2 linked regions of the Solanum lycopersicum genome follow. The protein of the gene in region 2 interacts with the protein of the main gene of each other region in a pairwise test. Links are inferred from orthologs where the notes say so. Each region holds a gene or a part of one and is shown on either strand. Other genes may lie near its edges.

Region 1 (4,548 bases), on a different chromosome or scaffold from region 2:
GCCTTCTGTTCTTGACCTCTAGTTTTGTGATTCTGTCTTTTTATAGTGCTTTACTTTTCTAGTTCAGTCGGCCTATGATGCCTACTGGGTACCTGTTATTTGGTACTCATGCTACGCTCTGCATCTATTTTCGTGATGCAGGTCCAAGCACTGGTAGTCAGCGTTGATCGAGTTTGGAGAATTTCTGGTCTGGAGACAGGGGTGAGCACACAGCGTTTTGTACTATTTCAATCTCCATCTGTTTATATAAAGACTTGTCTTTACTTTTTGAGACAGTCTAGTTTCGGTGGTCCACTGTTGGGACTTGTACTCGTTTTGTTGGTACCTCTGTATTAGTGACTTTCAGGTTCTGGGAGGGATCCTTTATTGTATTTATGTTTTGGTTTGCTTATGTTGTTATAGTAAATTTTCTTAGTCTTGTTTAGTTTCTACCCTCACACCCAGTATGTGTGGTTCTGGGTTGTGGTTTGGCTTACCTATTGATGGTTATAGTAGGTGCCTTCATGGCTCGAGAAATTGGGTCGTGACATTTATCGACGAATAAGAGTTGTGACACACGCTTGTGTTTAATCTTCCGTTAGAGTGAATGACATATATGCTCTAGTTTTTGGACAGTAGATGCACCAATGTCCCAAAAAATATGACAGAGAATATCTGCATACCATTTACGATAGTTCGAGTTATATTTATCTTTTTTTCCTTCTAGTTATATGAAATTAATTGTTTTAAAAATAAATTAACAAGAAAATATGTTACATCAATTGCATAGAACAGTTATTATTTTACCAATTTACATTTTAGGAGGATTATTGATTTCAACTTCTCTCTTTGTGAATCTTTTTTTTGTTTCAATCTTCAAAATTATGTTTTTATACATAAATGGTATTTCTATTTTTGTGAAAGGTAAAAATATATTTGTAATTAATCGAAATACATATTTCAAGATTACTCAAATAAAATTCATTGTAATATTTTGAATAATTATACTCTTTGAATTGTTCCTTTATTGTTGATAATATGTGTTCTTCTTTTTAACACTTCTATTTTTCTTTCGGTCCAATCTTATTAGATAAATATTTATGACAGAAAAGAGTTAATAACATCGGGATAATCTTTAAAAAAGCACACTCGTATTTTGAAAAATAAATAAATAAGCCAAACTTTTTATATTATATCATATGCTCACCAAAATAGTTTTGAAATGCAATCTTTTTTTATAAAAATTATTCCATTATAAAGGGTAAGAAAGGAAAGATAAAAGTATTTAGGGTGACCATGAAAATTGAAGCTGAATTTACTGTATCAAAAAATTTCAAAGTTCAAACAATATCAGTAAAAGGAGAAGATCGTTTCATATGACAATGAGGAATGATCATATATGTAGGCTAGCAAGCTGATTCAACAAATTCCAACGGTAAGAAAAAAATCAATAGAGATTAATATTGGATCTTATGTAATATCTACGTAAATATATTTAATAAAAATAAAGTTGAATAGTATAGAAAAAATTATAATTTAAAGGGAAATATTGATATCATTTAATTAAAAATAATAAGAGTGAGGATATAAAAGTTATTGTGAAAAATAAAAATATGCCAAAAATTGAGTAATAAAAAAAAGAACTATAGGGTAAATATGTTTTTTTTTTTAAAAAAAAAGAAAACGAAAAAAAAAGTACAAAATGTGTAAAAGAGGAACATGAATACACCGAAAAGGAATTCTTAAAAAAATTTATGAGAGCCAGCAAATCACCACAATGCAACCATGTTACTGAATACAGACTCCGTGTTTCGCCAAACCTATTCAAAAACACTACTCACGCGCACCGCACCCTCCCAATACACACACTCTCCCCCTCTCTGTTTCTCGCTAAAGCCCACGAATCCACACTCCCCTTTGCTCTCTCCGTGATCATTTTCCGGCGAGATCCCTGGTACTCCGTCGGAAAATCCTGATCGGATCCGCCATCTTTTTTTTTTGTTACTGGATTCAGTTTCTCGTACCGAAAGATCCAATTAGATGGCTCCGGTTTCGGCTCTCGCAAAGTACAAGCTCGTTTTCTTAGGAGATCAATCTGTCGGCAAGACCAGTATTATCACGCGATTCATGTATGATAAATTCGATAACACCTATCAGGTATACACTTTTGCTAATTCATTATTCATGTGATTCAATAACCTTTTGTTTCTGCGGATCTGTTTCTCAATTAACATTTGTCGTCTTCTTGTTGTAAGCATATTTAATTTTGCTACATAAAGACTTAATACTTATTTTTCAAGATCTTTATCTGTAAAGCACAGTTATTGACACTTTGTATGTATAATTTGCTCTTACCGAGGGAAGGTGTTTGCAGCAATGTATTGTTGCTCATATGATTTGCTTACAGTGTAATACAGATTTGAAGTCATTATAGGTCAGTCTTCTGTTTGCGGAATTTTGATTGGGTAGATTGCACTCCGGAAGTTGGTTGCCTTGTTAACTGAAGTGTTAACACATCTAATGTGAAGTAATGACACGCTTTTATTATACAATTCAGAAGAGGGATAGAGAAATGAGCATACGTTGTAGCTTATTTCCTCACTGTCTAAATAACCCAAAAAGCTTCTTGTCCGCTTCCTTGCGCATTATTGACGAGAATCCACAGGAACTTGTGGAGTGTTATGTATGTGAATGATTTACATCAAATCATGCTTGAAACTCTAGCTCTCCATTGGGACAGTCTCACGAATCCTTAAGCCTTCCAACTATATTTTTCTTCTCTTTTCTCGACAAACTATATATCTGAACTTAATGCTTTAAGTTGTGCCTACATTGATCCAGATCTTTTCTTATAGATTCTCAACTTCTTTTCTCCTCTTTTTTTTTGTGGTTGAACTGTGTCTTTCCTTCTTGTACTATGACGGAGTGTTTTGTTTGGTCTGACAGTAACATTCTTCTTATTTCGAATGTTTCTGGAACCCTATTACACTCTTAACCTTTGCAGTTAACAAATGACCTGCTTTATCTTTTTTCGTGATTTGCTGACTTTTAGACAATCATTTCATCAATCCTCAGTTCCCATGCCTTGATGGGATAGGGTTCTTTTATGTCTTTTTGATTGTGAAACTGCATGTAATCTAGACTTTCTAGTTCTTGCTTCCCCTCTTCTAGTAAAGTATTTCCATTTCAACTAACAACTCTCTCTTCTTATTCAAATTTTAGCCGGTTTACTTTTTTATTTATTCAAATAGACGATATTTTATCAAGCATCCTCATTTTATTTAATTTCTTCTTCAGGCCACAATTGGTATTGACTTCCTATCGAAGACTATGTACCTGGAAGATCGTACAGTAAGATTGCAGTTATGGTAAGATATACTTGTTGATGAGACAATGTCTCATTGTGCTCTGATCATAAAGACTGTTTTCACATTTTTAACATCTTACATTTGTGCCATGTTGTTAAGGCGTAACTACATCAATCTATTTGAGGTAGCACAATTAACAGTTCAATGTGATGTGTTGTGTTACTCTCTTTCATGAAAATGAAAAAGTGATGCAGCTATCCTTGATTATGGGTGTTAACATATATCAGGATGGAAATTGGTCAGTTTAAGTATCTTGCTAAAATAGATTTCTTAGTGGAGGCTTCAGATATAATTGCTCTTGCTTCAGTATTCCGTAGGAAAAATAAGGGGATAGTTTTTTTTTCTTATCTAGCCTTTTAATGATAGGTTCTGTTTCTCCCTTATGCCTCCCAATTGGATTTATAGTAGCTATCAAACTTTTAGCCATATTATGAAAATGCCCTGGCCTGACAAAAGTATTCTCCTCAAACCAGTTCATAGTATTAAGATTTTCTTTTGTTTTCACTTATTGGGAAAACATTTTAACTGTTGCCTGGCTTCTTGTTTGGTCATTTGATGCTGGATTTAGTATTCATTTCGCATTTTCATGCACTATAAAATTTGCCTTTTCGTGATACACTTTCAGGGATACTGCAGGTCAAGAGAGATTTAGGAGTCTCATTCCCAGCTATATTAGGGACTCCTCTGTTGCTGTCATTGTGTATGATGTTGCAAGTATGTCACATTTCAATTTTGTGCAGTTTTTTTTCGGTTCATACTCGATTTCCCGCTTATCCTTGCTTCTGGCTATATTTGCTTGGAAATGAATTACTTTGACGAGATATCCCTTGCTGAAGTTACACACTGTTTTTTCCTTGATGGTTCCAGGCAGGCAGTCCTTTTTAAACACTTCAAAGTGGATTGAGGAGGTCCGAACTGAGAGGGGCAGTGACGTTATTATTGTCCTTGTTGGTAACAAAACCGATCTTGTTGAGAAAAGGTAGCAGTAACTTGTTCATTCTCGTTTTCCTTTTCCTTTTTGGAGGGCGTGAGGGTGAGTGAGACTTTCTTTTTTGATGTTTTAGCAACTTTTCTGCTAAATACCAGAACATTTGCTCCTGAAGGGGCTAAAAACACAACCAATATTAGAACAATGTCTTCAAAAGCAAATCATGAAAAAGTGCAAATAAAGCGAGGCTTAAACGTTGAAAGATGCCAATGA
Region 2 (3,823 bases):
ATCGAAGGTCAATGAGCTTGATCAGGAAACATCTCCAGGAATCCTCCAAAAGAATATTCCAGAGCGAGAATCATCTGAAAACCTCGAGTTGGTTGTTTCCCAATCATCAAATGCTTTATCTCAAACTGAAGTTGGTATCCCGCTGCTTGTTGATTCAAAGGAAAATACTGGTAATGATGGGGAACAGAAGAAAGAAGTCACTGAGGAATCTCCTCCTGTTCAATTAGAGGATGCATCAAATTACCCTACAGACAGGGAACAGAAGAAAGAAGTCACCATGGAATCTCCTTCAGCTGAATCACGGGATGCATCAAGTGACCGAGCAGATAGTGGAAGACCTTCTGTTTCAGATTCTGTAACTGCCAGCGAAGGTGAAAGTCTTGAAGAGCATTCTAACAGGAGCTTTCTTGGTGACCAGCACACTGATGAAGGTCTGAAGAAGCTATCTGATACAGTTATGCCTGAAAATGAGTTGGTTAGTATACCTGTGGAGGCTACCCAGCGAGGAAATGATCAGGAGACTGGTGTGAAAGAACGGTTGAGCTCCGGAAGCAACTCTTCAGATGTTACCAATTCAGTGGTTGAACTGGAGAAGCTGAAAAAGGAAATGAAAATGATGGAAACTGCATTACAAGGAGCTGCTAGACAAGCTCAGGTATGTCCATATGCTACTTTAATGGAAATTTATGCACCTTCTGCTCCTCAGCATCAGTGGAACATTTCTGAATCTACTGACGTTACTTGAGAATATGAATCTTTTGTTGTATGCACCTATAGTAGGCGAGTCCAATAATTCACGTTGTATTACCTAAGATTAGCTGAAATCTGAATCCCACTCATCCTCAATAATTTCTCCCAACTTGTGTGGTCATGGATAAAAGTTGCTTCAATGAGTTGATTTTGACTAAAAGTAGCTTCAATTAAAGAAGTTCTGATTTGAAGTGTGTGTGTCATTGACACATCCCATTGATATTGTCTTGTACTTCTCAAATGACATAGTTTACGTTCTTGAGGTCTCAAATGTCTGAACACATGGATATCTTTTCCATAGTCCGTGGATCCTTTCTGAAGTTGTGGAATCCGTTGGCAAGGATGTTGGTATACGCCTAAAGATGATTGGACCGTGTAGCAGCTTCATACGTTTAATTGCAATTATCCCTTTATTATTATGCAGCATTATTCCAAAGCCAATAAATATATTTAAGGATTCTGGGTGATTGGAACTAATTCTCCCATCATGTATGAACTTCGCAATATCTTCCTGTTATGCCTCAAACTTAGAGGGAAGCTTGGACCGTGTAGCAGCTTCATACGTTTAATTGCAATTATCCCTTTATTATTATGCAGCAAGATTATTCCAAAGACAATAAATATATTTAAGGATTTTGGGTGATTGGAACTAATTTCTTCCATTATGTATGAACTTCTCAATATCTTCCTGTCATGCCACAAACTTGAAAAAAAATTCAGTTGGTGTGTTAGACCCCTTATTTTCAGTTCTTGTTTATAAAATGATGAACACTCAACAAGATGACATGTCATTGTTTTTCCTCAGGCTAAAGCTGATGAAATAGCGAAGTTGATGAATGAGAACGAGCAATTGAAGGCTGTTACTGAGGATCTGAGAGTAAGTTCTCATCATTTTGAAGTTCCTTTCGAGGCTGTTAATTCAATTTGTTGCTGTCCGCTAGTTTTTGAAATGGCATGAGTCAAAGACATACTATAGTTCCCATTGTTTCAGGATGAATTTACCATCTCATAAATTAGATTTCTAGTGTTGTTTTTCTGCTTGTTATTGCAGAACATTTCTTTCTCTTCTGCCCTTGCTTGCAATTTTCTTCTAGATAAGTTAATCTTGCATGTGAGCCAGATATTGTGTAAGCTTCTGTGCTGACTGGTCGAGTCATCTTAACTACCACCTAATTTGTTAAGCACTTTTTAATGAACATCATCAATAATCAGACTTCTCTTGACTAGATGCGTGTAGATCAGGAAGAATCGCTTCTGTTGCATAATTTCATATGACTCTCATCATTGATGATTTTGATTTAACTGCTTTCACATCAATACACGTTGCATTTTCTCTTATACAAATTCTAGCTTCTGTCCTGTTTGTTAGATGACTTGTGCTTCGTATGCTCTTCTATTCTCTCAGAACTGCTAGTTTCCTGTATCAATTTAAGTACAGAATGTTTCGGGGTGGCCCAGTGGTTTGGGCTTGGAATTTTTATGTTGGAGGTCTCAAGTGCGAAACCTCTTGCCAGCGAAAGCAAGGGGTTTGCCTTCAGGGTTGAGCTCGTCGCACCGGGCTTGGCTAGTGCGGGTTACCTCTCCTATGTTGTTTGCGAGCTATTGCATGTGGGTGGGGGTGGGGGGTGGGGGTGGGGGTTTACCCTGTGCGCACCTAAAGGATAGTGGCTGTGAGTTTCCCTTGTCATAAAAAAAAAAAGTTATCCCTGCAAGCAATTATTCTGTTGTTCATTTTATCTTCCTTTAGTATTAATATCATATGTGTAATTGGATCTTTATTGCTGCTGGGTGGGATCAGCGTAGCACGTGCCAATGGATGTGTGTTTTGTAATGGATAATGGATCGAAACTTTAGTTAACTCTTTTGTTAATTTTATTTAAATTGGTGAGTTCCAATGCACTTTTTAAAACTTTTTTCTAATTCCCCATCCCCACAGCGTTCCTCTTATGTGTACGTTAGGTTCATCTTTCATCCCTCATAATTCCCTTCTAAGTGAAACTCCACCAATATTATATCTCTTGCTTACACACTAATTTTTACAGAGGAAGTCCAGTGATGCAGCAATTGAATCTCTGCGAGAAGAGTACCATCAAAAAGTTTCTGCTCTTGAGAGGAAGGTATGAATGTGTTCACATGAATGTTTCAGCTTAAACTTCCATTGCTAAGTGCTTGCTTTATGTCTTGATCATCAGCCTTTTCACATCATAACAGTAGCATAAATTCTTGAAAGACAGTTTATTTGAGCTTTCACATTGTTGCATAGTTTTTCTACTTCATTTAGGCATCACTACAATGTGCAGCTTCAGCTTTTATGTGTATAACTTCATATTTTATGCTTGCTGGTTCTGTATAACGCTTGATGGTTTCTTACACTTTTAGTTTTTCAATGGTTCTAATAGACTCTAAGGATGCAGGATTATCTTGTTGAGCTGTAATGGGTCGAACCCCTTTAGTGTCAATAAGACCTTATTAACTACATATATGAATTGGGACGGGGAGCTTGACCCTCGAAAATCTGTATACTTCCACAGGAGAACATTCTTTGGAGAAACTCCATACCCTTCTTTTAGAGTTCTTGCTCTTGTAAAAAAAAGTAGAAGCATCTTTTATATGCTGCACATACATGATATTGACAGAAGAAGAGAAACATTCTGTGTTGGCTGGTAATATTCCATCTTTTCCGATTTCATTAAATTTTTTGAAGAAATTGCACCATCCTTCCCGCATCTCTATTTACTGCTGAAACCTCATGTCTACTACTTCCTAAAATTGCAGTTCCCCAGTTTGTTTTTTTAAAGAAAATCCTCCTGTACTATCAGTCATTGAGGGCTCTTCTAAACAAGAAATTCCATCCCTGAGGGCTCCACATCTGAGAAATTGTATCCTTGTTCTGCTAGCTTAGCATAACCAAATTTGGAAATAGAGTTGCACAGCATTCTTCTCTAATTAGTTGTTATGTTCTCCTTCATTTCCTTGTGTCCTTTTTCAAACAACTTTGAAATGCTATACTTGAGCCGAGTTCAATTAGAAACAAATTATCTTATCTCCACGAGGTAGGGGTAAAGTTTGCATA

The links.
Region 1: the proteins of golgin candidate 5 (region 2) and ras-related protein RABH1b interact in a two-hybrid assay, tested with the Arabidopsis thaliana proteins (2 studies listed by BioGRID, with this or other methods). The link is inferred for Solanum lycopersicum from reciprocal best matches to the Arabidopsis thaliana genes GC5 and RAB6A.

Annotation. Positions count from the first base shown.
Region 1 is NC_090800.1:79,113,355-79,117,902, reverse strand, and holds the start of ras-related protein RABH1b, read left to right. Parts: upstream 1-1,666; 5' UTR 1,667-2,019; coding exon 2,020-2,136; intron 2,137-3,276; coding exon 3,277-3,347; intron 3,348-3,972; coding exon 3,973-4,061; intron 4,062-4,214; coding exon 4,215-4,326; intron 4,327-4,548. UniProt on the Arabidopsis thaliana protein: Protein transport. Regulator of membrane traffic from the Golgi apparatus towards the endoplasmic reticulum (ER). Binds GTP and GDP and possesses intrinsic GTPase activity.
Region 2 is NC_090805.1:44,311,012-44,314,834, reverse strand, and holds part of golgin candidate 5, read left to right. Parts: coding exon 1-655; intron 656-1,555; coding exon 1,556-1,627; intron 1,628-2,792; coding exon 2,793-2,867; intron 2,868-3,823. UniProt on the Arabidopsis thaliana protein: Golgi matrix protein playing a role in tethering of vesicles to Golgi membranes and in maintaining the overall structure of the Golgi apparatus.